Linked DNA regions of Anolis sagrei. The protein of the gene in region 1 purifies or fractionates together with the protein of each later gene. This does not show direct contact. Links are inferred from orthologs where the notes say so. Each region holds a gene or a part of one and is shown in the gene's direction. Other genes may lie near its edges.

Region 1 (7,729 bases):
AGTTCCACTGCTGAACGGCTCTCACAGTCAGGAAGTTCTTCCTAATGTTCAGATGGAATCTCCTCTCTTGTAGTTTGAAGCCATTGTTCCGCGTCCTAGTCTCCAAGGAAGCAGAAAACAAGCTTGCTCCCTCCTCCCTGTGGCTTCCTCTCACATATTTATACATGGCTATCATATCTCCTCTCAGCCTTCTCTTCTTCAGGCTAAACATGCCCAGTTCCCTAAGCCGCTCCTCATAGGGCTTGTTCTCCAGACCCTTGATCATTTTAGTCGCCCTCCTCTGGACACATTCCAGCTTGTCAATATCTCTCTTGAATTGTGGCGCCCAGAATTGGACACAATATTCCAGGTGTGGTCTAACCAAAGCAGAATAGAGGGGTAGCATTACTTCCTTAGATCTAGACACTATGCTCCTATTGATGCAGGCCAAAATCCCATTGGCTTTTTTTGCCGCCACGTCACATTGTTGGCTCATGTTTAACTTGTTGTCCACGAGGACTCCAAGATCTTTTTCACACGTACTGCTCTCGAGCCAGGCGTCACCCATTCTGTATCTTTGCATTTCGTTTTTTCTGCCAAAGTGGAGTATCTTGCATTTGTCGCTGTTGAACTTCATTTTGTTAGTTTTGGCCCATCTCTCTAATCTGTCAAGATCGTTTTGAATTCTGCTCCTGTCCTCTGGACTATTGGCTATCCCTCCCAATTTGGTGTCGTCTGCAAACTTGATGATCATGCCTTCTAGCCCTTCATCTAAGTCATTAATAAAGATGTTGAACAGGATCGGGCCCAGGACGGAGCCCTGCGGCACTCCACTTGTCACTTCTTTCCAAGATGAAGAGGAAGCATTAGTGAGCACTCTCTGTGTTCTTAACACTGTGTTCTTAACACATTTCTTAACACAAATAATTCAAAATCACCTAAATACATTAATAATTGTAAAAATGATTAATACAATGATCCCTAGGTATCTGCTGAGGAACTAGTGTGGTTTGACACTACTTTAGCTCCTGTTGCTCAGTACTCTAGATGGGCCCTAGCTTTGGCTGATGATTTAACAAGAACAGAGAAAAACTTGTGCCAGAGTAAATTCAAAGCGCAAGGCTATGGAATCCTGTTTGGTGAGTGCCAGCACTCTTAGGCAAAAAAGGAAATAATGATAATGATAATAATAATATTAATAGTAATAAAAACTACAAGCAGAGGCATAACACTGTTGCTCAGATGATTAATTGGAACCCGTGCCACAAATACCATCTTCCTGCGACAAAGAACTGGAGGGATCACAAGCCTGAAAAAGTTTCAGAGAATGAACACGTCAAGCTACTCTGGGACTTCTGAATTCAGACAGAGTTTTGGAGCAAAATATTCCTGACCTCACGATTATGTTAAAAAATAAAGTATGGATTGTTGATGTTGCAATTCCAGGTGACAGCAGGATTGCAGAGAAGCAACTAGAAAAGCTGTCACAATACGAGGATTTAAAGATCGAACTGCAAATACTCTGGCACAAGCCAGTCAAGGTGGTTCCAGTGGTGATCGGCACACTGGGTGCAGTGCCTAAAGACCTTGGCCTGTACTTAAACACAATTGGCGCTGATAAAATTACCATCTGCCAACTGCAGAAGGCTGCCTTACTGGGATCTGCACGCATTATTCGCTGATACATCACACAGTCCTAGACACTTGGGAAGTTTCCAACGTGTGATCCAATACAACAGCCAGCAGAGTGATCTTGTCTGCTGTGGACTCATCTTGTTGTGTTTCAAATAATAATCATAAGTTTTTATTTGTATCCCGCTTTTTTCCCTAAACAGGACCCAAAGCAGCTCACAGCATTGTGTAAAAGACAATACAAGACAATGTACATATGTAAGACAACAACCTATAAAACAATTTTACAATGAGAAATAAACCCATTTAAAATATCTAATACAGTTATTGCAAGCTACTCAACAAGACAGATGGTAAAGTTTGCGCAACTCAGTAAAAGTTAGCTTTCCTGTCATTATAGCTAAGTGTTTTCATCAAAACATTGAGCTAACAGGAGGGTCTTTAGCTGTTTTTAAAAAGATGTCAGGGAAGGTGCTGTTTTGACCTCCTTGTGGAGGGAGTTCCAAAGAGTTGGAGTGGCCAACAAGAAGGCCACTCCTCATAGGGCTTGTTCTCCAGACCCTTGATCGTTTTAGCCATTCTTCTCTGGACACATTCCAGCTTGTTAACATCTCCTTTCAATTGTGGTACCCAGAATTAGAAACCTTTAAAAAGAGTCTCAAGACCTGGCTCTGCCATTGCACCTTTGGAGAGTAGTCATACAACTTCATGCTATTGCTCCCTCAACATTCTTGTCCCAGGAGTCCCCCCCCCCCCCCCCTTTGTATGTAGGTTTGTTTATTATCCCGTCTCTCCATGAGTTCTCCCTACAATTAGTTTTACCCCTTTATCTCCCTCGGAGTTTTAAAATCATTTTATGTACATGCGGCCCACTCCTTGTCCTTATGTTCTATGTATATTGTTTATGTTCTATGTATATTGTTTATATGTTTTGATGTTTTATACTTTAATGTTATGTTGTTTATTTTATTGTATTTTTTTATTTTTTTGAATTGTAATCTGTGGTTCGGGCTTGGCCCCATGTAAGCCACTCCCAGTCCCCGTTGGGGGAGATGGTGGCGGGGTATAAATAAAGATTATTATTATTATTATTATTATTATTATTATATGTATGTTTGCATATATATGTGTGTGTGTATGGTTCTGCAAATGCATTGTAATTTTATTTTGTTTTTTGGCTTTTTAAGTTTCTTCTGCTGTGTTTTTCAGTGTTTTTATGAGTGATGGTCGATTGCTGGCCTGATAGGTGTATTGTGTCCAAATTTGGTGTCAATTCGTCCAGTGGTTTTTGAGTTATGTTAATCCCACAAATTAACATTACATTTATATATATATATATATATATATAGAGAGAGAGAGAGAGAGAGAGAGAGAGAGAATCAATTCATTTTCTGGTCCCTTCTGGAGCTTGGTAGTTAATCAACTACCAAGCTTGCAAATTTTGTGTTTTGTCTGTTTGTTTGTTTGTTTGTTTTGTTCTGTTAGAAATGTCATACAATTGTCTGGTTGCCCCTGACATGATAAATAAAATAAATTCATTTTCTTCCTTTAGTTTCTTTTAAATAACAGGTGTTTTGCAATATTTCATGGGCTCACACATTCATTTAACTTAATTTCTCAGTATCAGAAGGCAATCCTCCATGGAGGTATCTGCATAATGAATTTACACATTTAAATATCAATTGAGCTGAAATGAAATACTGATTATTGGAGTATTAAATAATTTTAACAAGCTTTAGCTGATTTATTTTCCATCCAACCAAGAAGACAAAAAGTGATCAGTATGTGTTTCTGCCCGGTTTCGAACCGGGGACCTTTCGCGTGTGAGGCGAACGTGATAACCACTACACTACAGAAACCAACTGAGTGCTTGGGGCAGCCGCTCTGCCTGATAGGAAAGAATGGCTGCAATGCAATCCACGAGGGCTTCAAAGAATTGCTGAGTCATCACTCCAAGTCTGAGTCATTCTAGTCGAGCCACACATTCTTGCTCATGTTAAACATGCTTACCATCACTGCAATTGCTAAAGTATTTTTAAGTTATCTATCTAAATTGTAGAATTAATCCGGTTTGGCACTACTTGAACTGCCTTGGCTAAATGTTACACAGTCTTAGGAGTTGTAGTTTTACAAGCTATATAGCCTTCTCTGCCCAAGAGCCCCAGTGCCTCACCAAACTACAAATCCCATAATTCCATAGCACTGAGCTATGGAAGTTGAAATGGCATCAAACTGTATTAATTAGTGTAGATCAGTTATGGGCAAACTTGGGCCCTCCAGGTGTTTTGGACTTCAACTCCCACAATTCCTAACAGCCGGTAGGCTGTTAGGAATTGTGGGAGTTGAAGTCCAAAACACCTGGAGGGCCCAAGTTGGCGCATAACTGATCTACCCATTGCAAAGCTTCAAAAAACAACTTTTTTGGAGGGAGGGATATTAATATATTATATTATTATTTTTAATTATTATTATAATTATAATTAATAATAATAATAATATAATATATTAATATCCCTCCCTCCAAAAAAGTTGTTATAATTATAATTATAATTAATTATTATTATCTATATTATTATTTTGGAGGGAGAATAATAATAATAATAATAATGATGATGATGATGATGATGATGAATGCCCAGCAGCCATCCCAAAATGATACTTGCTCAATCTTTGATACCTACATTAACCAAGGGTGCATCTACACTGCAGAATTAATGCGGTTTGACACCACTTCCAACTGCTGTGGGGTCCACTAGACTGCATGGCCATCTATGCCAGTAACTATTGCTATCAACCCACCCTATTCGCGCTAGGAATGGAGGAATCAACGTTCCTAATCTCGCGATAAGTAAAATCCCAGGGCGCCGCCATGTTGTACGTCTCTGAGGGGATTGCCACCAAACTAACCCGCTTTATTCCAGAAGCGGATTTTGCAATGGTATTTGGGATCTTTATCAGAATTAGGAATGATAGTAGGAAACTATTAGGTGATTTCCAGGGACGGGTTTCTGTACCAGCTATTGTTTTTTCTCATCCGTATATAAGAGACAGTAAGGAGCCATGTTGTTGTACGGAGCCCGCGAGGCGAGGCTACTTCCGCTTCCGGAAGACGCTGCCGCTTCCTTTCTCTTTCTGGGCCTCTGCGAGCTGGCAGGTCCGGGCGAAGGGCCGCTGCTGAATCCGCCGCCATCCTCCGTCCGCCGCGGGAGCTCGAGCCTTCTCAGCCGCCGCCATGACGGAGCAGATGACTCTGCGTGGCACCCTGAAGGGCCACAACGGCTGGGTGACCCAGATCGCCACCACCCCGCAGTTCCCCGACATGATCCTGTCCGCCTCGCGTGGTAAGGCCAAAGAAGCAGGGCCAAACCAAATGGCAAGGCCGGGGGGGGGGATTAATAAGATAAAGTGGGAGAGACCAATGTATAATGGGGGGGGGGGGGAAGAGACATATCATTCAGCCGAGAGAAGTTGGAATGGTCCAAGTTACATGGAAGGAATAGGGATTCTTATGAATATCACTAAGGGCCAGAATAACTAGACTGCGATTCTTATCCTGTAGTCACACTCCCCCATATATGCTTATGGGAGCGACCCACAGTCCTTAGGAAGTATGGCTGGGAAGTTCCATAGAGCACAGTATTTGGAACAAACCAAGTAATAGTAAGGGTTTTGGTGACTTTATATTGTGGAATAAATGTAGTTTAGCATAGAGAGCGAAAGGTCTTGTAAAACTACATCTCCCATGATCCCATAGCAGTTGGAAGTGGTGCCAAACAGCATTAATGCTATTATTTATTTATTTATGACATTTATATGTCGCTCTTCTCACCCTGAAGGGGACTTAGAGTGGCTTACAAGATATATATACATACAACATATTATATTATTACCATAGTACAATATCAGTATTATATATTACTATATTGTACTATACCATTATATTGTAATATTATTAGTAATATTACATTATATTATATTATTAAGATATCACCGGAGACAAGGTGAAATGTATGTAGACGCACTCTTGGTTATTTATTTATTTATGACATTTATATGCCGCCCTTCTCATCCCGAAGGGGACTCAGAGCAGCTTTCAAGATATATACACACATACAATATTTTAGATCATTAGCATAGTACAATATCAGTACTATATATTACTATATTGTACTATAACATTATATTGTAATATTATGAGTAATATTACATGTATTATAAATATATGTATATGCAATATAGTACATTGTATTATATTGTATTAGCATAGCACAGAAGACAAGGTGGAACTTCTGTTTAGACGCACCCTTGGTTATTTATTTATGACATTGATATGCCGTCCTTCTCACCCCGAAGGGGACTCAGAGCCACTTACAAAATATATATATATATATATATATATATATATATACACACACACACACACACACACACATACAAACAATATATTATATATTAGCACAATGTCAGTATTAAATATTACTATATTGTACTATACCATTATATTGTAATATTATTAGTAATATTACATGTATTATAAATATTATATGTATATACAATATATTATATTACATTATATTATATTATATTATTAGCATAGCACAGGAGACAGGGTGGAACTTCTGTGTAAACGCACCCTTGGTTAATGTAGGTATGGCCATAGAATCAAAGATTGAGGAAGTATCGTTTTGGGATGGCTGCTGGGCCTTCTCCCTCCAAAAAAGTTGCTTTTTGAAGCTTTGCAATGGGTAGCTCAGGCATGGTCAAACTTCGGCCCTCCAAGTGTTTTGGACTTCAACTCCCACAACTCCTAACAGCCTACCGAGTTGTGGGAGTTTAAGACCAAAACATCTGGGGGGCCGAAGTTTGTGCATGCCTAAGGTAGCTTCACGTCGAGGTCAATAGCAGGTGCATTTGCTTCTTCTCTGTCCCAATGATTAAATACGACATTGTCTACCTGATCTTCTTAATGGGATCTGAAGACAAGTCCTGCAATTATGATGGGACAGAGGAGGATCCATTAAGAAGCGGGGTGGGGAGGCTCTAGCATGTTACTGGAAACCTTTAGTTTAGAGGAGTACCACAAAATGCTAACAAAAAATGATCTCACAACTCAGAAGCGATGAAGGAGTGCTACAGGTCTCTCAGGTTTGTGAATTAGAGTGAACAGCCACCTGGCTGGCTTGGCATGCTTTGCTTTCATATTAGAATTATAGTATCACAGAGTTGGAAGAGACTCCATCTAGTCTAACCCCATGCCATGCAACAATACAGAATCAAAACACCTCCGACAGATGATCATCCAGCCACTTCTTAAAATCATCCAAACTCTGAGGAAGCAGCATATTCCACTGCCGAAACAGCTCTTACAGTCAGGAAGTTCTTCCTAATGTTTAGGCAGAATATCTTTTTCCTGCAATTTGAATCAATTCCTTTGTATCCTAGTCTTTAAGCTTGGCCCCTCCTCAATATGACATCTTTTCAAAGAATAGGGAACTCCTGAGCACATGCAGGTGGCCAAATTTTGTCATTGTGACCAGAACTAAACCCCATAACTTAAATATTTATTTATGGCATTTGTAGCTCGCCTTTCTCAGCCTTACGGCGATGCAAGGCAGCTTACAGAAATTGGCAGAATTTGATGCCATATATTCATAAAGTACAATTAGAAACATTCAACCTAATATTATAAAAACCATATAAACCATTTTATCCCCTCTGTTTTCTCTCCACTCTTCTTTTCTAGTAATCTCATCTAAGCTTGTAGAACTTCTTTTTTTTTGCTGATACATAATTGGAAGTCAAAGGAGTTTTTTTCCAATTTACGGCAAATCACCCAGAGATCTGCTAGTGAATCTTTACCTACTCTACTCAGGAGTCTCTGGTGGCACAGTGGGTTAAATCCTTGTGCCAGCAGGACTGCTGACCAAAAGGTCAGTGGTTTGAATCCGGAGAGAGCGGGTTGAGCTCCCCTCTGTCAGCTCCAGCTACCCATGGGGTGACATGAAGGAAGCCTCCCATAGGATGGTAAAATATCAAACATCCAGGCACAGTCTTGCAGATGGCCAATTCTCTCACATCAGAAGCAACTTGCAGTTTCTCAAGTTGCTCCTGACACACA
Region 2 (7,780 bases), on another chromosome or scaffold:
TGTATTGTGGGCTCGGCCTCAAGTAAGCCGCACCAAGTTCCTTAGGGAGATGGCAGCGGGGTATAAATAAAGTTTATTATTATTATTATTATCATAACATAAGCTCTCTTGTATCACATTATGTTATATGATACTAGCTGTCCCCTGCCACGCGTTGCTGTGGCCCAGTCTGGTGATCTGGAAAATGAAGTAATTAGAAAGTGTTGGTTTCTAATATATGTAATGCCTTGATGCTTGTGGGTAAACAGCATTTCTTGCTGTGTCTTTGTCAGTGTTGATGTGGAGAGTATCTGGTTTGCCTACTTTGGAACATGCAACATATAATTGTCCATCTTAAGGGGTCCCTTTCAAATCTATGATACTATGATAATATATCATATTCATGATACTATATTTCAAATCTATGATACTATATCTCTCTGTGTGTGAATCATATATATCTATCTACATCTATGGCTGGATGGCTCTTTGTCAGGAGGCCTTTGATTACATTTTCTTGCCCTGGTGAAGGGAGTTGGAATGGCTGGCCATGGGGGTTTTGTGTGGGAAGTTTGCCCCAAGTCTGTTGTTGGTGGGGTTCAGAATGCTCTTTGATTGGAGGTGAACTATAAATCCCAGTAACTACATATCCCAAATGTCAAGGTCTATTTCTCCCAGACTCCATCTCTGTTCATATTTGGGCATATGGAATATTCGTGCTAAGTTTGGTCTGGATCCTTCATTGTTTGAGTCCACAGTGCTCTCTGGATGTAGGTGAACTACAACTCCCAAACCCAACGTCAATGCCCACCAAACCCTTCTAGTATTTTCTGTTGGTCAGGGGAGTCCTGTGTGCCACGTTTGGTTCAATCCCATGATTTGGTGGAGTTCAGAATGCTGTTTGATTGTAGGTGAACTATAAATCCCAAATGTCAAGGTCTATTTCCTCTGAATGCCATCTCTGTTCATATTAGGGCATATGGAATTTTCATGCCAAGTTTGGTCTGGATCCTTCATTGTTTGAGTCCACAGTGCTCTCTGGATGTAGGTGAACTACAACTCCCAAACGAATGTCAATGCCCACCAAACGCTTCTAGTATTTTCTGTTGGTCAGGGGAGTCCTGTGTGCCAAGTTTGGTAAAATTCCATGATTTGGTGGAGTTCAGAATGCCCTTTGATTGGAGGTGAACTATAAATCCGAACAACTACAACTCCCAAATGAGAAAATCAATTTTTTTTCGTGATGATCATTTCTTGGGTTAGTAGGTGTCTTGTGTCCAAATTTGGCGTCAATTCGTCCAGTGGTTTTTGAGTTCTGTTAATCCCACAAACGAACATTACATTTTTATGTATATAGATTTCTCTTTTTTTGGCTTTTATGTTATTGCTGTGTTGATTTACTGATGTATGTATTGTAGGGCTTGGCCTCATATAAGCCGCCCCAAATCCCTTTGGGGATAAAGTATTATTATTAATTATTATTAATTATTATTATTAATTAATAATAATTATTATTAATTATTATTATATACACACACATATACATAAAAAACAGCATAGTAATACCGAAGCACTTTTATACAGGCAGTTAGGTACCTTTCTTTTTTTTTGGAGTGGGAGAAAACTTCTCCAAGGAGTAGCCAGGCCCCGCGGATATGGAATTCGTGGATAAGGGGCTGCTAGGCTCCATTCCTTTGTGCTCCAGGAGAGAGAAATCCAGGCTCCGTCTCTTGCAAAAAGCAAAGCGGTGGCGGAGGCGTGCGTTTGTGCGTGCGCGCTCCCGAAACGCAAGCAAAGGAGAAAAATAAAAGGGGAGGGGGGTGTTGTGTTTCCTATCATATGTGTTTAAGATGTAATAGAAACAAACAGAGATAATTGTATGTAATAGAAATGTTATCAGATTGCAAAGAAGTTAAGAGAAACAAATGAATGATGAAGTTATTATAGAAGTTAAGAATAATAGACGCTTCCGATTTAGTCGAGATTTAGTCTTCCCTGTTAGGATGCAAAGCCCTTGCTTTCCAACCCCAATAATGTTTGGATGCACCTTACTGATTGTTATCCTCCTGGGTGTTTATTTCGTGTTGTAATTAAGGGAGAGGACTGCAAAGAGAGAAAGGTTCCTCGCTTTGGCACCTTCAGGGTCTTGAGTACCCCTCTCAGTCTCCATCATGGCATTGCAAAACCCCCAAATGCCCAAAGACTTGGGAGAAAGTCTCCTTCAAAGTGTGGAGTACCCCTCTCAGTCTCCATCATGGCATTGGAACCCCACCCCCCAATGCCCAAAGAATTGGGAGAAAGGCTCCTATCTTGGCACCTTCAGAGTCTGGAGCACCCCTCTCAGTCTCCATCACGGCATTGCAAAACCCCCAAATGCCCAAAGACTTGGGAAAAAAGCACCTTCAAAGTGTGGAGCACCCCTCTCAGTCTCCATCATGGTATTGGACCCCCCCCCATGCCCAAAGAATTGGGAGAAAGGCTCCTTTCTTGGCACCTTCAGGGTCTTGAGTACCCCTCTCAGTCACCATCATGGCATTGCAAAACCCCCAAATGCCCAAAGACTTGGGAGAAAGTCTCCTTCAAAGTGTGGAGTACCCCTCTCAGTCTCCATCATGGCATTGGAACCCCACCCCCCAATGCCCAAAGAATTGGGAGAAAGGCTCCTATCTTGGCACCTTCAGGGTCCTGAGTACCTCTCTCAGTCACCATCATGGAATTGGAACCCCCCCCCCCCCCCCAATGCCCAAAGAATTGGGAGAAAGGCTCCTATCTTGGCACCTTCAGAGTCTGGAGCACCCCTCTCAGTCTCCATCACGGCATTGCAAAACCCCCAAATGCCCAAAGACTTGGGAAAAAAGCACCTTCAAAGTGTGGAGCACCCCTCTCAGTCTCCATCATGGTATTGGACCCCCCCCCCCCATGCCCAAAGAATTGGGAGAAAGGCTCCTATCTTGGCACCTTCAGGGTCTTGAGTACCTCTCTCAGTCACCATCATGGCATTGCAAGACCCCCAAATGCCCAAATACTTGGGAGAAAGTCTCCTTTCTTGGCACCTTCAGGGTCTTGAGTACCCCTCTCAGTCACCATCATGGCATTGCAAGACCCCAAATGCTCAAAGACTTGGGGGAAAGCCTCCTTTCTTGGCACCTTCAGAGTCTGGAGCACCCCTCTCAGTCTCCATCATGGCACTGCAAGACTCCCCAAATGCCCAAGGAATCGGGAGAAATCCTCCTTTCTTGGCACCTTCAAAGTCTTGAGTACCCCTCTCAGTCACCATCATGGCATTGCAACCCCTCAAATGCCTGAAGACTTGGGGAAAACCCCTCCTTTCTGGCACCTTCAGAGTCTGGAGCCCCCCTCTCAGTCACCATCATGGCATTGCAACCCCTCAAATGCTCAAAGAATTGGGAGAAAGGCTCCTTTCTTGTCACCTTCAGGGTCTTGAGTACCCCTCTCAGTCACCACCATGGCATTGCAACCCCCAAATGGCCAAAGACTGGAGAAAGGCTCCTTTCTGGCACCTTCAGAGTCTGGAGCACCCTTCTCAGTCACCACCATGGCATTGCAACCCCCAAATGCCCAAAGACTGGAGAAAGGCTCCTTTCTGGCACCTTCAGAGTCTGGAGCACCCTTCTCAGTCACCATCATGGCATTGTAAACCCCCAATGCCCAAAGACTTGGGAGAAAGTCTCCCTTCTTGGCACCTTCAAAGTGTGGAGCACCCCTCTCAGTCACCATCATGGCATTGCAACCCCTCAAATGCCTGAAGACTTGGGAAAAACCCTCCTTTCTGGCTCCTTCAGAGTCTGGAGCACCCTTCTCAGTCACCATCATGGCATTGCAACCCCCCCAAATGTCCAAAGATTTGGGGAAAAGCCTCTTTTCCGTCACATTCAGAGTTTGGAGCACCCCTCTCAGTCTCCCTCATGGCATAGCAAGATCCCAAATGCCCAAAGACTTGGGAGAAAGCCTCCTTTCTTGGCACCTTCAGAGTCTGTAGCACCCCTCTCAGTCTCCCATCATGGCATTGCAAACCCCCCCCCCCCCAAATGCCCAAAGACTTGGGAGAAAGGCTCCCTTCTTGGCACCTTCAGAGTCTGGAGCACTCCTCTCAGTCCCCATCATGGCATTACAAGACCCCCAAATGCCCAAAGACTTGGGAGAAACCCTCCTTTCTTGGCACCTTCAGAGTCTGGAGCACCCTTCTCAGTCTCCATCATGGCACTGCAACCCCCCCCCCCCCCAAAATGCCCAAAGACTTGGGAGAAAGGCTCCTTTCTTGGCACCCTCAGCGTTTGGAGCACCCTTCTCAGTCTCCATCATGGCATTGCAAGACCCCCAAATCCCCAAAGACTTGGGAGAAAGCCTCCTTTCTTGTCACCTTCAAAGTCTTAAGCACCCTTCTCAGTCACTACTATAAGCATTGCAAAACTCTCAATATCCAGATTTGGGCGTTTTCCTTTGGAGAGGGAGAGAGGGGTCTCTATTTTTGCGCATTTGGAGAGGCGGTCGGGGAGGGGGGGTGCACCCACTTTGGAGGCCTGCAACCCCAAAGCGGGGGGGGGGGGGGGAGGAAGGGGAAAGCCTGGGCTACGGCTGGGAGTCAGGAGAGGAGGAAGGAGAAAGAGGAGGAGAGGAGGAAGAGGAGGAGGCGGCGCCGTGGAAAAAGCCAGCCTCCGCAGTCGAGAGGAGGAGGAAGAGGAGGAGGAGGAGGAAGAGAGGAAGGCGGAGGTTGTTGCTGCTACTGCTGCGGAGGGCGACTCTCCGGCCTGGTAGGCCCCCTCCTCTGGTAAAGAGAGAGAGAGAAGGAAGGAGGGAGGGAGGAAAAGCAAGCAAGCAAGGGAGAACAGTGCTGCTTGGCTTTGTTTCCTTCCTTCCTTCCTTGCTTTGGTTTTGCTGCTCCCCAGGATTTGACCTTCAGCAGCCAAACGCCGGATCCTCCTCCTCCTCCCACCATTCATTCCTCTGCTTCTTTGGGAAGAGAAGGCGAAGAAGGGAAGGAAAGAGAGACACAGAGAGAAAGAGAGAAAGAGAAACCCAGCTTCGGAATCCGCCTCCGGGATCTCCCTCGAGCCTCGCCTGGCGTTGTTTGCAAAGGCGCCTTTCCGAAGGGAAGGGAGGCGTTTGGAGAAGGGACTCCCTCCCTATTTATTTGCCTCTTTTTTTTTCTTTCCAGAGGGAGGTGCCCCTTCCTTTGGTCCCCCCCCCCCCTTCCTTTCCCTCCTTTTTCCTATTTGGGAAGGAGCCTGGGAAAAAAGGAGGGGGAAAGAGAGAGAGACAGAGAAAGAGAGAAAGCCAAGCCTTTGGCGCGCCGCGTCTCCTCCCTCCATTCATCGCCATTCCGCATTTAGGATCCGCATTTGGCAAAAACAGGCCGAGGAAAGATGGGGAAGGGGCTTCGGACCCTTTGAAGGACGCCTCCTCCATTCTTGGGGGGCAAAAAGAAGAGAGAAAGGCGTCTGAAAGAGGGGGAAACGCGCCAGAAAGGAAACCTCTCCAAAACAACAACAAGATCCGCCTTGCCTTCCTTCCTTCCTTCTTTCCTTCCTTCCACTCCCATTGGATTGAATTTGTCCCCCCCTCCAAGGAAAGCGACCCCCCCAGTCGTTCCTCTATTTTTCCTCCTTTTAGAGCTTTTTGGTGGGACGAAAAAATACAAAAGGAAGAGAGAAAGGAGTCAGGAAGAAGGACCAGAAAGGAACCTCTCCAAAAACAACAACAACCTTCCTTCTTTCCTTCCATTGGAAGAAATACTGGATTGAATTTGTCCCCCCGCCCTTCCAAGGAAAGCGACCCCCCAGTCGTTCCTCTATTTCTCCTCCTTTTAGAGCTTTTTGGTGGGACGAAAAAATACAAAGGGAAGAGAGAGAGAAAGGAGTCAGGAAGAAGGACCAGAAAGGAACCTCTCCAAAAACAACAACAACCTTCCTTCTTTCTTTCTTTCCTTCCATTGGAAGAAATATTGGATTGAGTCATTTTTTTTTCTCCAAAGGAAAGCACCCCCTCATCGTTCCCCTGCGTTTCCTCTTTGGGGTTTTGGGGATTTTTTTCCATTTTTGCATTTTGGGGGTTTTTTCCAAAGGAGATTGAGAAGGAGAAGTCGTGCGTAAAAGCAAGGAGGCCTTTTGCATTGCGCACAGGAGGCTTGGAGAGAGAGGAAGGAGGCAAAGAAGGGATCCGTGTTGGTGTTTTCCTGATTGTTTATTTGTTTGTTTATTTGTTTGTGGGGGTAGGGCGGAGAAGGCAAGCCCGGCAGGAAGAAGGAGAAGGAGGAGGAGGAGAAGAAAAAAGATGGAGGTCGAAGATGCGGACTGTTTGCTCCAACGTGTGACATGTTTGCTGCTCCTGGATGACTGCAGGCGAGGCTGAGGCGCACGCCGGGATCTTCCCTCCTCGAAGAGAAAAAAGGGGCCAAAGACCCCTTTTTGGCCTCTCCAAAAGACCCCCCATCCCTGCCTTTCCTTCCTCCCTCCATTCCCTTCCTTCTTCCCCTGGCAGAGGCCTCCCCAAAGGAAAGAGAAAGAACCAAACCAGGGAAACATCCAAGGACTCCCAAACGCTTCTCTCTCTCTGTATTCTTGTCCTCCTTTCTCCAAAAGGAGCCTTTTGGAGAGAAAATCCTTCTTTTTTGGGGGAACAAGGTTGGGGAAGAAGAGTTCCACCGCTTCTCTGGAAACCCTGTACAGATTGATTAGTATTGTTGTTAGATTCTTCTGTTTTTGTGGACTTCCCAAAGGCCAGTTTTGCTCCCAACCCAGAAGGACAAAAAGAGAGGAATGAAGCCTGGCGCTGGAGGAGGGTCCCTGACCTTATATGGGGGGCTTTTGCTGATCTTGACCACGTTTTGCTTCGGGACAGCAAATGGAAAAAGTGAGTGTTTCATAGACATACCTATATATTTATGTGTGTGTGTCTGTTAAGGGGGGGGGTAGTTTATTTTTAATTCCATCTCCTCTACCAGGAGTTGGGATTGATGAAAGGACAGGCGGCTATATTTATTGGGTTTATTGGGTTGCTGTGAGTTTTCCGGGATTTACCCGGAAAACACACACACACACATGCTAAAAATAAACAACACACACACACACACACATGTTTTCCGGGCATTTACCCAGAAAACACACACACACATGTGTTTATTTTTAGCTCATATTGTCTCCTCCATCAGTTGGAAGGACAAGCTGCTATACCAGGCATGGGCCAACTTGGGCCCTCCCTTCCAGGTGTTTTGGACTTCACTTCCCATAATGTGTGTATGCAGATGATCCCTTGATTGACTGTAGTGTCCATTGCCAAGAGGATGAAGGCATGGGCCAACTTGGGCCCTCCCTTCCAGGTGTTTTGGACTTCACTTCCCATAATGTGTGTATTCAGATGATCCCTTGATTGAATGTAGTGTCCATTGCCAAGAGGACGAAGGCATGGGCCAACTTGGGCCCTCCCTTCCAGGTGTTTTGGTCTTCAGTTCCCATAATGTGTGTATGCAGATGATCCCTTGATTGACTGGTGTCCATTGCCAAGAGGATGAAGGCATGGGCCAACTTGGGCCCTCCCTTCCAGGTGTTTTGGACTTCACTGCCCATAATGTGTGTATTCAGATGATCCCTTGATTGACTGAAGTGTCCATTGCCAAGAGGATGAAGGCATGGGCCAACTTGGGTCCTCCCTTCCAGGTCTTTTGGACTTGGCATGGGCTAACTTGGTCCCTCCCTTCCAGGTGTTTTGGTCTTCAGTTCCCATAATGTGTGTATGCAGATGATCCCTTGATTGACTGGTGTCCATTGCCAAGAGGATGAAGGCA
Region 3 (8,024 bases), about 97 Mb from region 1:
CACTGTTGAAGTCAATTTTCCTCATTTAGAAGTCTGACAGGACCACCCAAGATTTGCTGTCTGCATGCCACACAGCTTTAAAAGATGTGTTTTTTGCTGACATTCATCTAACACATGTGAATTAATATGTATGGTGTGATCAAAGACATATGGCATAGACGAGTATAACAAAGGTGAGAAATGGAGACAAATTTTCCTCAGTGGACTATATACCCCACCAACATTGTGCCTGAATACCTCAAGTTTTGTGCATGTCCTTCCCAAAATGATGACAGGAAATGATGTCACCAAATGAGGTTTCTGTGGGTGTGGGTGGGCTTTTGGCAATTGGTACATGTTGGAGGCTTTGTGTGTCTTTTTTTGGGGAGGGGGGGGAGCGTGATACAACAGTAGGATCTATGGGCCTCATTGGTCATAGGACTTCTTCACATGGGTTATTTTTTGGTGGTCTATGACAGGTGTTCAGCAGTTCAGCCATAGACCCCGATGGCTCTCACCATACCCTGGAGAAGTACTTCTGGGATGGCTCCAGGGCTGAACTGCTGCCAAAACCCTGCCTCAAAAACCCTGTCGCTGGTGGTGGTCCACAGGAGGCTTCCCATCTTTCCATTGGGAAAGATGGTTGAGCCAACTTAAGAAGGCTTCCCCATATGTGCTGAGGTAGGGGGGAAGCCAGGACAATGTGGGGCATGTCAGGTATTTTCCTCTGCCTCAGTAGAGTACTGGAAGCACCCCCAAGCCATGAGTCAGCTGGGTCCTAGAGTCCTTGAGCAATGCAGGAAACTTCACTGTGCAATAATAATAATAGAAGTCCTTTCACTGCAGTATGCAGGAAAGCTTTATCTTCACTTGCTTCAGAAGACAAAGCTATATACACAATATACACACTCTCTATCTCAGCTCTTTGCCCCATCCACAGCTCCATTGTCCTACAACAGACTATGCTGAGCACATAGGAGGTATCTGCTTTTTTTTACTCTCCCCCATGAGTCACTAGCTCAGTCACCTGACTGTGCTAATAAATAATAATAATAATAATAATAATAATAATAATAATAATACATTTTATTTGTACCCTGCCATCATCTCCCCAAAGGGACTTGGGGGCGGCTCAAATAAACAATATTTGGGGCAATTGTAATCTCACAAACATGATAATAACATGAGATTACCGCACACACCTACAATATTGCATAATAAAATATTAAAATTTGTAAAATGCAGTCATGACTGTGGATAAAACTGGTTGTTTTCAATTAATTAATTTACAGAGTGCCTAGGCCTAGACATGAGTGACTCTGCATTTTGCAATGTGGCCAAGTCTAAAGGCCTCAGTACCTTACCATTTTAATTATGACATTTATTTTTTAAACCATGACAGGGTGCAAGACAACAGGTTGCCATGCGCCCTGGATGAGTGCTGCTGGTATCACTGCAATCTGCGGTGATCCAGGGAGATTACGGTGGTGCATGTGAGAAGGTCCTAATAGAAAGAATAGCAAGTTTAAGTGATGCTTGCCTTCTTTCCACTGTATTCTAGATTTATAATTATAATGTATTCCTCTCATAAATCATGCAAACATAGTTCACAGTCAATATGCAGCATAAACGTATTCAGGTTTACTCTGAAATAAATTTGCTAGGTTCAGTCGGTCTTATTTCCAAATAAGCATTATAGGATTGCAGCTTTAAAATTCACACATAAAAGTATCTGTAATGCCCTGTATTTATTTGTAAATAAGTTTCAGATCTTAATCAAGATGACATTGGCAAAGAACAAAATAGCACTCTCCTGTTTCTTTGTGCAAAAGTTGGATTGACAGGTGAATCTTTCCTCAGCGTTGATAGTGAGACATAAACGTTTGCACACTGCTATCTGGGCTAGCTTTCACAGTAGACCTAGTGAAATATGCAAATATATGGATTCAATCTAAATAAAACAACAACTGGTCAAATATATTAAATAAATATTGTAATGGGAGTATCAACCATCTTTCTCTAGCAAAGCCACAGTATTCTCTCCCACAACCAAACCATAGCCTCCAGAATCCTGGAGGTAACAGAATCCATTTTCTTGGGGCTTTTAAAGGCCTCAAATGTATTCTGCCACCTGGTCATGACATATTAATGAGGCAGTGAGAACAAAGGATTGGATTCAAGGGACAAAAACATGGAAAGTTCAGAGAGGAAGGAGTAAGTCAAGAGAAAATGAATGCATTCCATTTTGTTTGAGAAGGCAGACTGAAGTTGGAGGAGGAACTTCAAAAACATGATGGAACTGGAATACAAACAAAAAGCAACAGATTCATGCTGCAGGGCAGCAAGCTTACATGAAGAAGAATTAAAGATGACCAGATAGGGAGAGCTGTTGGCTAGCAAGCCATTAAAACTTTGAATAAATAAATAAAGGGAAGGAGGGAGGGAGGGAAGAAGGAAGGAAGGAAAAGTAGCTGGGTGACTAGTGAAAATTGCCATCTCTACAGGATTTGAGATACTGGGCAAACCACATCTGGTAAAGAAGCATTAAGTACAGCTAATCCTCTCTGTAAAACTTCTTGGTAGCCACAATGAAGTTTATTGATATTTTATACTTATAATGTATTGTATATATATCCAGAAACATTTCTGTGCTATTACACATTTACGTTACCCAGTTTTCACAGTTATATGGAAGCAATGGAACACTTGATAATTACGGCATAGACCTATCTCCTTCCTTAGACCAAGAACCATTCCCTTTCACAAAAATGTGTATCTTTCTATGTAATGATGGTCACATCTCTTCCCCCCCCCCCCCCCAAATTAATACATTCTATCAATACATGAGGCTAAGACAGTGCGACTTGCCCAAGATCACCCAGTACAGGGTCCCCAAACAGAGGCCTGAGGACTGGATGCGGCCCACCGAGATCATTTACCCAGTCCCTGCCCTAAACTTTAGACTTAGGGTAACCCTAAGTCTGAAATGACATGAAGTCACACAACAACAATCCTAATTAACTTGACTATCACATCAACCAAAAGTAAGCCCACACTTCCCATTGTAATGCTGGTAATTATACTTTATTTTAAATATTGTATTGTTCTTTCATGATTTTTTTACTACAAATAAGATATGTTCAGTGTGCATAGGAATTCGTTCATTTTTTCCCCAACCTATAGTCCACCTCCTCCAGTGGTCTGAGGGACCATCAATTGTCCCTCTACTTAAAAAGTACTTCGCAACCATAAATATATATTTCAGACAGTATGACATTTGTTTATAACATATATGGCATGCTCTAGACATGGTTCACAATTGAACCACATAAGTTGGGAGCTATCATAAGGGGCACTTTTTGGATATTGACTACTTACATTTGTTGCTATCTCTACAAGTAATTATTTGGTTACACTTAGAATCATGTAATGTTGTCAGTGCTGGTGGAGGGTAGGATATATTTTACTGTTTTATTAAGTCTTACCCTTTCTGGGCTCCGCTTCCAGCTGCTGGTGTGCCGTCTCCCAGATCCCACCACTCTCACCGCTTTAAAATAGCGCACGGTCGGCTGTTATCCCAGTTCCCAGTTCCCTGGGACCGGGTCCCCTGCAGCAAGCCGCAGCTCCCAGCCTCCTCTCGTCCGGGTCTTTGGTGAGTCTCCTTGAGGGGGACCCACTCTTAGACCGTCGGTTCGAGGTGCTATGGAGATAGCGTCTCTTGGACACTCGATCCGGTCCAAGGGTTGAGGGTTACACCCCCTCTGCTTGCAGCTTAAGGGTTGGCTCTCGGGAGAGTCCCCGGAGCCCTGCCAGCTGCCATTGCCGCCCAACCGGAAGTCATAAGGGGCACTTTTTGGATATTGACTACTTACATTTGTTGCTATCTCTACAAGTAATTATTTGGTTACACTTAGAATCATGTAATGTTGTCAGTGCTGGTGGAGGGTAGGATATATTTTACTGTTTTATTAAGTAAACTCCTAATACGTTTTTTAAAAACCTACATAGCCAAACAAAGAGTTCCCAAACTTGCTGTGATCAAAATAAAGATCCTAGTAAAGTTTTGGATTTGATCTGGCAACTCTGTTGTGTGCCTTCTAAGCAAACTTTTGGAAATTCTTTTTTTTTTTAGAATATAAAATAAGTATTTAAAATTAATTTTGAAAAACTTTATGTTTTAATTTAAATTATAGTTCTCTTGGATTTTGCAAAACTTCTTCCTGCTTGTTAGGGATATAGCATGATTTAGATAAGAAGACTCAAAGTATTAACACAAGAAGATCCAGTGGGCTGAACTATTCAGAAGCATTTGAGCTTAGCATTCTTTGTAACTGATCCCCAAAGAGTAAAAGATCCTATGTTTAATGAAACCATATGTAGAAACAGGAGGAGGTCAGAAAGTTATGGCAACACTTGGAATTGATTTTTAGTTTGAGTTACCTGATCACAATCAGGAAGGAAGAACTGTCACAAACCTGATTTATTATATCATACAACAGATGGTTATGAATGGGAAAACTTTTAGAAATCTGTTTTACATTTGTTATATATCCAATTAAGAAAAAATGTAATGTAAAATAATGTGGGTTGATATGATGATCAAATGGGGAAGAAGTGAGGAATCTACATCACCATGATGTAGGGAAGCGAGGGTATAAGTGTAATTGACAAATTCCTAGGTAGAGAAGGATTTTTCTCCCACAGAGCATCTTTGGAAGGTTTTCAGTGCAATCAATCAATCATACAATTAATTAATTATGCAATTAAATCATATTTATTTGGTTTGTTATAATTTTGTTCAGTGCCAGATATGAGGAAAAGTGTTTATGGGATTTTTCCCCTCCTTGTATGCCCAAAGAATTTGGCTCGCTTTGAGGATCTTGCAACCCAGATGACTGGGGAGGGCAGGTTATCGGTTCTTCTGCCTTAGGCAGCAACATGTTGTGCACTAGGCCTTTGGTAAATTGATGTGTCCTTCCTTGTTTAAACTGACCGTCACATGTTCCTCATGCAGAGATGCCGCTGATCTCCAGAAGAGTCTTCAGGGAGGATGGGCTTGAATGGCTTTTCATGGGAAGGTCAGCATCAAAGATTCTGCAGTCCAACCTAGCCAGGTAAGACAATAGCTTGCACAAAGAGCGATTGCAGGCCAGGGTTGTCTTTTGTTTTTGTCGCAAATGCTGAGTACTGAGATACTATGGAGAATGAGTGTCATAACTCTGAGCTGTACAATTTCTACAACAAAGAATATCTAACAGTGGTGTTCACAAAATTTATAGCTAACATTTGGTTTAGCTCCTCCTTCCATTTTGTACCAATTTGTTGATTGTAATCCTAGCTGGTTTTCTCAGGTATTGTCTTTTACAGCTAGGACAATATGCATTAAATTTTGGAAACTTTAGTACTTCCTAATGACATTTTTTATGATGTAATGATTTATATGCATGTTTGTGGTATTCAGCTGTAAAAATGTACCATTGTAAGTAGACACATAATGTATACCCAGCGTGCTTTCATTTATCAGAGATCCCCTGGGAGGCATCCAAGATGTATGAATAACCAGATGTTTGCAGGAGAAAATGGGGTGCTTAATGCAAAGTTACTTGGAAAGACTAAAATAAAACAAAACACCCCTTAGGTATCTAAATGACTTAGACAACTGAGACCTAGAAAACTGTAGGTTCAGATTTATTTGACACACAATATTTGAAATGTTTACCAGACACATAGAATTTTTTTTATTTTATGACTTGGTCATAAGTGTGATTTTCAGAACTTAGAAGTATGGAAACTGAATGCACATAACACAAACCACATGTACCTGTTCCATCTGGCAAATGGAGTGATCGTGAACTTGGTGTTTCTGCTAACCTTTTCTCATTGCATTAAACCACCTTAATAACTGCTTTTTCCTTGCATGATTACTACGCCCTTTCTTTTGAAATTTATGCATATAGGGATTTAAATGCAATAGATGTCCCATGGATAGCACTTAGTTTGGTAAAATGCTATCCAGGACAAGGAATACCTATATCATTTGGGGCCAGTGAGCCAAAACCTGGAGCCAGTGGTCTCTCTGGGAGAAATTTCTAGAGTTGCGTGTTAAATCAAATTTCCATTTATATATGATGTGTTTCCAGAACTTAGAAAATTACTTTTAAGGAGACCCAGGGTATTATCCTTCAGTTATGTATGGCTCCAGTATGTCATTATAATCCATAATGTACTATATTAAATAAATACTTATGAATGAATAACTTCATTTTGTCTCCAGTCCAGATTCCAAAACCCCACTCTAAATGCTAGCAGCCACATGGAGAAATGGGTGCCTGTTCTCTTAAAAATCAGGGTACAGCATGATGACATTTCTCAGCTCCCTTCCACCAATGATTTGCTGTGCAATGAGGACCCTACTTTTTATTGTCACAGCGTTGATTGCGGTAGGAGGGAGATAGAAACATCATCTTGCTCTAGCCGGCTTACCACAACAACAGACTTTCAATCACTCTTTGTGGGTGATGGCTCTTTTGTTTTCCTTGCACCCCACTTCAAATGATATTCAAGGTATGTTTGGATGGACATTTGCAGTCATGGCAGTAGCACCACAATTGTGAATGTGAAACATGGCTAAATATGGAGCAGATACAGATCTGTAACTTTAGGTTACAAATCCATAACTGAAATGTAGGCTGCCAGTCATTGTTCTTAAAAGTAACTTCCCAAGCCCTGATTCTTTTTCTGGATTAGAATCAGATCCAAGGATCATCTAGAACAGTGGTGTCCAACCTTTGGTCCCTCAGATGTTCTGGACTTCACTTCCCAAAATTCCTGATCACTACACAAGCTGGCCAGAGCTTCTGGGAGTTAGAGTCCCAAACACCTGGAGGGCACCACTAATCTACAGCAACATGATGGTGACCAGCCACATAATCCAAGGACAGTCACGAAGGTATCCTCATACTTATTGATAATAATCTGATCATCCCTAGCCCAGTATATCCGCTATGTGCATTATTCATAACTGAGCAATGGTACCTTAGGATAAGAGACAATGCTTTGAAAGTAAGAAAACAAAGTTGTGTTAATCAAGAAAAAAATCCAAAATGTACAGCGAGTCTAAATATTTGTAAAACTGTGGGCAAGCTTTCCGGAACCCCAGATCTCTTCATAGAATAAGTTGTAAAAAGCAGAGAAAGGCTAACTGAATACAGATTTCTTGAAGTCTGTATGGTCAGATTCTCAAGATGGAATGTAGTAGATGGCACAGACTTCAAGGGACTCCTTCTAGTAGCTTTTGTACCTAATTACAGTAAGTGCCATTGGGACAATGAGCAGCATGATTGAATTTTCTCTTTATTTTTAAAAAGATAAACTTGAGTAGTTACCGGGATATGACTTTTGCCTTAGGCAACATGCACAGAAAGGTAAGTCAAGCAGTTGTTTTTAGCAAGACAGCCTCTTCAGAAAGCAAGCAAACTATTTAAAGAGAATGCTCAGGGAGCCATCTTGTGGTTGATATTCAACATGAGTGAAAGACTGCTTTGCTTGGTCACTTTTCGGGGGTAGCTACTGGCTTGCATTTCACAAAAGCTTGTACTGGATGAAATGTACAAAATTACAAGGCACTTTGTTGTTTTGCCCAATCTGCATCTGCTCAGGTCTGGGAAAAGATAACAAGAATTTTGAAGCACACTGGGGGTTTTAAAAAATGTGTTCACTCTTTTTCAGAAGTTATTTCTAAAGTAGACTAAGGCCCCATTTCCACTTATTATTTAATGCAGCTTCACTTCCAAATGAATGCTACACTGTGGATTAAAGGGGTTACAGCATATTTTTAAAATTCACAGAAAAGTCTGAGATAAGCCCTTGAATATATTGCAGAAGATGACAATATATCCCAAATCGCAGGGTGAAGCGCATCTTTAATAAAAAGGTGATTGAATAATGATCAAATGATGTCAAAAAGATTATAGTCTTGATTTAATCTGACTTTTGAACTTTTCAGTTGGTATGCTCATAATTATCCCTTTGTGGCATCTACATCG
Region 4 (7,835 bases), about 160 Mb from region 1:
CTACTAAATGCAGCTGTATTCAGTTAAAATATTATTTGGCATTTTGGAGCTGAAATCTTATCTCATGAAAACCTTTTACACATGCACACATATAGTTGGTTTTTTTTTTTTTTTGTCGTGTCAGGAGCGACTTAAGAAACTGCAAGTCGCTTCTGGTGTGGAGAATTGGCCATCTGCAAGGATGCTGCCTGGGGACGCTCGGATGTTTTGATGTTTTACCATCCTTGTGGGAGGCTTCTCTCATGTCCCCGCATGAGGAGCTGGAGCTGATAGAGAGAGCTCATCCGTGCTCTCCCCGGATTCGAACCTGCAACCTGTCGGTCTTCAGTCCTGCCAGCACAGCGGTTTAACCCACTGCACCACTGGGGGCTCCTCACATATATAGTAAGATAACATATATTTTAAAACATTGTCATTTCTCATTACATTTTGTTAACACACCCACCCATTGCAGCCAACACACAGAGGCTGGATCTACACTGCCCTGTATCTCAGGATCTAATCCCAGGGCCCTTCCACATTCATCTGAATCAGAATATCAACCTTGATAATCCACTATATATGCTTTGAACTGGATTATCTGAGTCCACACTGCCATATAGATGGTTTTAAACAACTGATTTTAAAGTAAATATAACTGATTTTAGTGTTTGTGTATATTTATAGTTATTTTATGTTCCGGCATGGAATACTTGCCATATATATGTTGTGCTCCGCCCTGAGTCCCCTTCGGGGTGAGAAGGGTGGAATATAAATGTTTCAGATAAATAAATAAAATCCAGTTAAATGTAGATTTTATGTAGCTGTGTGGAAGGGTCCCCGGATTATCTGCTTTGAACTGGATTATGAGTCTACACTGCCAGGGCCCTTCTACACTGCCATATAATCCAGATGATCAAAGCAGATGATCTACATGATCTGCTTTGAACTAGATTAACTAGATCAAAGCAGGCAATGTGGATTATCTGCTTTGGTGATCTGTACTGTAGTGCAGAAGGGGCCAGAGGCTCTTTCCACGCAGTTGTATAAAATCCCACATTATCTGCTCAAAACTGGCAGTGTGGACTCAGATAACTCAGTTCAAAGTAGATATTGTGGTTTATCTGCCTTGATATTCTATATTCTCGGGGCCCTTCAACACAGCTATATAACTCAGAATACCAAGGCAGGAAATCCCACAATACCTGTTTATTTATCGTGTCAGGAGCAAACCAAAACAGTTGTATTGCATTAAAAACAAACAAACAATCAAAACACAAAGTTTGCAGACTTGGTATTCTATTAAATGTCCTTTGACCAGTAGCTGGCCACTTGGAGTGCCTCTGGTGTTGCTGCAAGAAGGTCCCCCATTGTGCATGTGGCAGGGATCAGGTTGCATTGCAGCAGGTGGTCTGTGGTTTGCTCTTATCCACATTCGCCTGTCATGGACTCCACTTTGTAGCGCCATTTCTAAAGGTTGGCTCTGCAACTCGTGGTGCCAGAGTGCAGTCTGTTCAGCGCCTTCCAAGTTGCCCAGTTTTCTGTGTGCCCAGGAGGGAGTCTCTCATTTGGTATCAGCCATTGATTGAGGTTCTGGGTTTGAGCCTGCCACTTTTGGACTCTCACTTGCTGAGGTGTTCCAGCGAGTGTCTCTGTAGATCTTAGAAAACTATTTCTTGATTTACGTCGTTGGCGTGCTGACTGATACCCAAACGGGTGGGCCAGAGATGTCACTGCCTTGGTCCTTTCACTATTGGTTGCTACACCCTGGCGGATGTCAGGTGGTGCAATATTGGCTAAACAGTGTAATTTCTCCAGTGGTGTAGGGCGCAGACACCCCGTGATAATGCAGCATGTCTCATTAAGAGCCACATCCACTGTTTTAGCATGGTGAGATGTGTTCCACACTGGGCATGTGTAGTGAATCTACTTCCAGTCAGGCCTATTTTAGGTCTAGAATGGTAGACCCAAGGAGTCGGCAGCCATCTTAGAAGAAGGTGCCGAGGGACTCCATTTTGATGGCTCATTTTCCAGGAGGGGGCATGTGTATTTAAATCAGTCTTTGGAGGGAAAATGAGAGAGGGATGTGATTAGCCAAGTCAGAGGAGGCGGAGCCTGGCTTGCAAAGAGGAGAAAAACTTGCTTTTTAGGAGGTTTTTGAGATCCCTGGAGGAATTGGAGTTTGAAGAGAAAGGGTGTTTAGGAGTGGAGTGGTGTTAGAAGTAAAGGCCTAAGTCTGGCCAGAAGTTTGCTAGCAAGGTAGCTGAAGCAGACTTGCAGCTAATAGATTAGCTGGGTAATAGCAGGATAGTATCAGGTTAGATCTATCTGGGCTACTGAAGAATCTCTAGCAGAGACACTGTCCTGTTAGTTTCTTGTTTTGTTTTGGAGGGAGAGAAGATTCTCTTAAGTAACAAAGATAGAACCATTCGTGTAACCATCACGCTTTTAAGACACAACTTTCTGTAACAGCCAAAATAATAACTGCATTTGTTCCTGTTCTAAATAATAAACCTTGTTGATTTTTGTTCATCAAAACCTGACTCAAGTGTGCCTCTATGCTTGAAGATTTCCAAAGTAACTTTAAGCAGTGTTGAAGAAACTAATGGTTACAGCGTACCTTTAAAGAAACAGCTTTAAAAGGGAACACAAGCCTTAGGGCTGACACAATCACACTCTTTCACCTCATATAAGCCAAGGGCTTAGCAGCACTATGGAGTGGGTGTGTGCTGGTGATCTTTCAAAAGGGTTTTGTATTCGGCCAGGCAGAGAGTTGCTAGCTTTTCTGTATATCATATCAGGTTTTTTTTGGGGGGGGGGGGGGGGGATTTTTATTGTCAAATAAATATTTCCCAGAATAAGTTCCCTACTTTGTGAGTAGCACAGCGCAAGGGCAGATGTCTTCACTGTATCTGATTGTGATACCTGTTTTGAACTTTGTTGTTGTTCATTCGTTCAGACGTTTCTGACTCTTTGTGACCTCATGGACCAGCCAACGCCAGAGCTCCCTGTCGGCCATCACCACCCTCAGCTCCTTCAAGGTCAAGCCAGTCACTTCAAGGATGCCATCCATCCATCTTGCCCTTGGTCGGCCCCTCTTCCTTTTTCCTTCCATTTTCCCCAACATAATTGTCTTCTCTAAGCTTTCCTTTCTCCTCATGATGTGGCCAAAGTACTTCATCTTGGCCTCTACTATCCTTCCCTCCAATGAGCAGTCAGGCTTTATTTCCTGAAGTATGGACTGGTTGGATCTTCTCGCAGTCCAAGGCACTCTCAGAACTTTTCTCCAACACCACAGTTCAAAAGCATCTATCTTCCTTTGCTCAGCCTTCCTTATGATCCAGCTCTCACATCCGTAGGTGACTACGGGGAATACCATTGCTTTGACTATGCAGATGGAGCCTCCAGTGGGTTAAACCCCTGTGCTGGCAGGACTGAAGACCAACAGGTGGCAGGTTGGAATCTGGGGAGAGGATGATGAGTTCCCTCTATCAGCTTCAGGTCCTCATGCGGGGACATGAAAAAAGCCTTACACAAGGATGGTAAAACATAAAAAAACACATCCTGGCGTCCCCTGGTTTTGAAGACTCCTGTAGATGCAGCCATGGTGTATGATAGAACCTCATAGTTACAATTGGAGCCCCCGGTGGCGCAGTAGGTTAAACCCTATGCCGGCAGGACTGAAGACCAGCAAGTCGCAGGTTTGAATCTGGGGAGAGTGTGGATGAGCTCCCTCTATCAGCTCCAGCTCCTCATGCGGGAACATGAGAGAACCCTCCCACAAGGATGGTAAAACAAAACAAAAAACACACACATCCTGGCATCCCCTGGGTTTGAAGACTACTGTAGATGCAGCCATGGTGTATGATAGAACCTCATAGTTAGAATTGGAGCCCCCGGTGGCGCAGTGGGTTAAACCCGTGCCGGCAGGACTGAAGACCAGCAGGTCGCAGGTTCCAATCTGGGGAGAGTGTGGATGAGCTCTCTCTATCAGCTACAGCTCCTCATGCGGGAACATGAGAGAAGCCTCCTACATGGATGGTAAAACATCAAAACATCTGGGCGTCCCCTGGGCAACGTCCTTGCAGACGGCCAATTCTCTCACACCAGAAGCGACTTGCAGTTTCTGAAGTCACTCATGACACGACAAAAAAACAAAACAAAACAAAAAACTATGCCGATCTTTGTTGCCAATGTGATGTCTCTACTCTTCACTATTTTATCATCATCATCATCATCTAATTACTTATTAATCGCCCTCCATCCAAGATGCTCTAGGCGTCTTTTATCGAGCTTGGTCATTGCTCTCCTCCCAAGAAGTGAGTCCACACCACCATATATTCCAGTACAAAGCAGAAAATGTGGGATTTTATTCAGCTGAGTGGAAAGGGCCAGTGTTAAAAGGCTGCCTGAAAGGGCCTTGAGTCCACACTGCCATATAATCCGTTTCAGTGTGGGATGTTATTCAGCTGTATGGAAGGGCCCCCAGACTTAGGCTTCTCTGCCAAAGAGGGCCTGTTAGAAAGGCCAGACAAAGTGGCTATCCAACTGCCTTTCATTCGACAGTATGGAGTCTCAACAGAAAGAAGAGTAGTCTTCGGGAGCTGGAATACTGCTAGGCCCCGCTTGGCTGCCTCTGAGGCCTGGCAACCATGAAGCAAAGAAGGCAAGCCCTCCTCCCTCTCTCCCTCCCTCAGCGGCCCAACTTTTCCCTGCTGGGCGAAGAGCAATGCCTGGAGGGAGGGGGGAGGAGGAGGAGGAGGAGGGCCCGCTTCCCTCTCCGCGCCCACAATGCTTTGCGCGGACGTTGACAAGTGGATCCAAGATGGCGTAGAAAGTAATGACAGGTAAGTCAGGACTTGCCCGTCTCCGGGCCGGGAGGGCAAAGGGCGAGCGGGGGCAGGGCGGCTGGGCTGCGAGGAGGCCTTCGAGGCCAAGGGGGCCCTGGGGGGATAGGGGGGCCCGCGTGGTTCCGCGGAGGAGGCGGCGGAGGAGGCGCGGCGCCGGCGGAGAGGGCCCTGTGGTCTGCCGAGGGGCCTGCAGGAGGAGCGGCGGAGGCAGCCATCGCAAGAGGGCAGGGAGGCAGGGAGGCAGGGCGAGGGGAAGGGGCTGCTCCTGTGCTCACTCACAGGGCCCGAGGAGCACCGGCTTGGCCTTCAGAGGCCCGGCTGAGGGCGGGGAAGGCTTCAGGCCGCTCAGCCTCGACGGCGGAGGGCGGCTCTAACGGCTCTCTAGGAAGGCACCAAACCCACACTGAAGGAAGGGGTGGGGTGTGTTTTCTAGCATACAGATCTATGCGCCTCACCAGCCAGGCGAATGAGGAAGCTCCTCGAAGGGCGGGGATCCGAAGTGCTTTGAAGAAAGGATCCTGTGGGCCCTTTCCACACAGCTGAATTAAATCCCACATTTTCTGCTTTGAACTAGACTCGGATAACCCAGTTCAAAGCAGATTTTGGGGATTTTCTGCCTTGATATTCTGGATTATATAGCTGTGTGGAAGGGCCCGCAGATAACCCAGTTCAAAGCAGATATTGGGGATTTTCTGCCTTGATATTCTGGGTTATATGGCTGTGTGGAAGGGCCCTCAGATAACCCAATTCGAAACAGATATTCAGGTTTTTCTGTCTTGACTTTCAGGGTTAGATGGCTGTGTGGAAGGGCCCTCAGATAACCCAGTTCAAAGCAGATATTGGGGATTTTCTGCCTTGATATTCTGGGTTATAGGGCTGTGTGGAAGGGCCCTCAGATAACCCAGTTCAAAGCAGATATTGGGGATTTTCTGCCTTGATATTCTGGGTTATATGGCTGTGTGGAAGGTCCCTCAGGTAACCCAGTTCAAAGCAGATATTGGGGATTTTCTGCCTTGATATTCTGGGTTATATGCAGAGGCGGCCCTAGGTAATTTTCAACGGTCAGCAAAAAGTATTTTGGCGCCCCCCTCCCCCCAACCAATCACTGATATATATTTTCTGTTCGTCATGGGAGTTCTGTGTGCCATATTTGGTTCAATTCCATCACTGGTGGAGTTCAAAATGCTCTTAGATTGTAGGTGAACTATACATCCCAGTAACTACAACTCGCATATGTCAAGGTCTATTTTCCCCCAAGACCGCCTCAAGAGCGCCCCTGGGCAAAATCAACTATACTGCAAATGCTTACTTTTCGTAATGGGTTGAGCCGCCCCTGGTTATATGGCTGTTTGGAAGGGCCCTCAGATAACCCAATTCGAATCAGATATTCAGGTTTTTCTGTCTTGACTTTCAGGGTTAGATGGCTGTGTGGAAGGGCCCTCAGGTAATCCAGTTCAAAGCAGATATTGGGGATTTTCTGCCTTGACGTCCTTGGTTATATGGCTGTTAGGAATGGCCCTCAGATAACCCAATTCAAAACAGATATTTGGAATTTTCTGTCTTGATTTTCTGGGATAGATGGCTGTGTGGAAGGGCCCTCAGAAAACCCAGTTCAGAGCAGATATTGGGGGAATTATTGCCTTCATATTATGGGTTATATGGCTGTGTGGAAGGGCCCTAGGTTAAGTCTTTGTGTAACTGGGGTGGGAAACAACAACTGCCAACCTTTCTCTGGAAGGCTTTTCTCCTGCAAATACGCCCACTGTTTCGCCTTTCAAAAAGCAAGTCTTATTTTATTTTTATTTATTTTATTAAGTGGCTACACAGCATTTCACAAGATGATTCATGAACTATTGCTGAATGATAGAGAGGAACAATGGTTTTGGATCGATCACTTAGCCTTGCCAGAGAATCAGCTCCTTTATAGGTGAATGAAAACAGTTTGGAAAGTTAATGTTTGAAAGGGATTGCATGAGTCGTAAGAGAAAAGGCATGTTAAACCTTGGTGAGAAAGGAAAACTGGTGAACTGTGCTCTAGGGCCCTTCCACACAGCCATATAACCCAGAATATCAAGGCAAAAATCCTACAACATCTGCTTTGAACTGGGTTATCTGAGTCCACACTGCCATATTTTCCAGTTCAAAACAGAAAATGTGGAATTTTATTCAGTTGTGTGGAAGGGGCCTTAGGCCCCTTCTACATTGCCATATAACCAGATTATCAAATCAGATAATCCACATTATCTGTTTTGAAGTGGATTATATGAGCCCCCTTCTATGACCCCTTCCACACAGCTGTATAAAATCCATATTGAACTAGATTATATAGCAGTGTCAACTCAGATAATCAAATTGAAAGATATTGTTGATTATCTGACTTGAAATTCTGGGTTACATGGCGGTGTGGAAGGATCTTACACTGCCATATAAAATCCAGATTTTCTACTTTGAACTGGATTATATTGCAGTGTAGACTTATGTGGATTGCCTGCTTTGATAATATGGATTTTATATGGCAGCGTGGAAGGGGCCATAATCTGCAAAACCATATAATCCAGAATTTAAGGTAGATAATCCGCAATATCTGCTTTCAACTGGATTATCTGAGTCTACACTGTTATCCAGTTCAATGCAGATTTTATACAGCTGTGTGGAAGGGGCCTAGGTGGGGTCTTAGTTTGTCCAGCACACAATAAATGTGAAGTATTGATAGAGAAACAAATGAGTTTTCCTATTGAATCACTGCATGGGGGCTTCTGTTTTTGGCAGGATAATTTCAACACTGTTGATTCACAAGCTTTCAAACATATTTGTACAGCAAACCTTTGTTTTTCCATAAAACTTTTATGTTGAGCGGTTATTACATTTTGTAAAAACTAAGCTAAAAATATAATTGTAACTTCTTGAGTTTGATAGCTTATAAAAAGCCTTCTCCTTCAAAATGATAAAAAAATAGACGGAAGGCTTGTAAAGATTTATATATAAAATTTTGTTGTTATGTGCTTG

What was found.
Region 2: the proteins of RACK1 (region 1) and IGF1R purify together in Homo sapiens (affinity purification with western blotting; 4 studies listed by BioGRID, with this or other methods). This does not show direct contact. The link is inferred for Anolis sagrei from reciprocal best matches to the Homo sapiens genes RACK1 and IGF1R.
Region 3: the proteins of RACK1 (region 1) and TNRC6C purify together in Homo sapiens (affinity purification with mass spectrometry; 3 studies listed by BioGRID and IntAct, counting the BioPlex papers as one, with this or other methods). This does not show direct contact. The link is inferred for Anolis sagrei from reciprocal best matches to the Homo sapiens genes RACK1 and TNRC6C.
Region 4: the proteins of RACK1 (region 1) and HELZ purify together in Homo sapiens (affinity purification with mass spectrometry; 3 studies listed by BioGRID and IntAct, counting the BioPlex papers as one, with this or other methods). This does not show direct contact. The link is inferred for Anolis sagrei from reciprocal best matches to the Homo sapiens genes RACK1 and HELZ.

Annotation. Positions count from the first base shown.
Region 1 is NC_090022.1:24,601,771-24,609,499, forward strand, and holds the start of RACK1 (small ribosomal subunit protein RACK1), read left to right. Parts: upstream 1-4,717; 5' UTR 4,718-4,843; coding exon 4,844-4,952; intron 4,953-7,729. UniProt on the Homo sapiens protein: Scaffolding protein involved in the recruitment, assembly and/or regulation of a variety of signaling molecules. Interacts with a wide variety of proteins and plays a role in many cellular processes.
Region 2 is NC_090029.1:14,282,227-14,290,006, forward strand, and holds the start of IGF1R (insulin-like growth factor 1 receptor), read left to right. Parts: upstream 1-4,701; 5' UTR 4,702-6,755; coding exon 6,756-6,849; intron 6,850-7,780. UniProt on the Homo sapiens protein: Receptor tyrosine kinase which mediates actions of insulin-like growth factor 1 (IGF1). Binds IGF1 with high affinity and IGF2 and insulin (INS) with a lower affinity. The activated IGF1R is involved in cell growth and survival control.
Region 3 is NC_090022.1:121,166,914-121,174,937, reverse strand, and holds the start of TNRC6C (trinucleotide repeat-containing gene 6C protein), read left to right. Parts: upstream 1-5,004; 5' UTR 5,005-5,039; coding exon 5,040-5,093; intron 5,094-8,024. UniProt on the Homo sapiens protein: Plays a role in RNA-mediated gene silencing by micro-RNAs (miRNAs). Required for miRNA-dependent translational repression of complementary mRNAs by argonaute family proteins.
Region 4 is NC_090022.1:180,429,563-180,437,397, forward strand, and holds the start of HELZ (probable helicase with zinc finger domain), read left to right. Parts: upstream 1-4,753; 5' UTR 4,754-4,826; intron 4,827-7,835. UniProt on the Homo sapiens protein: May act as a helicase that plays a role in RNA metabolism in multiple tissues and organs within the developing embryo.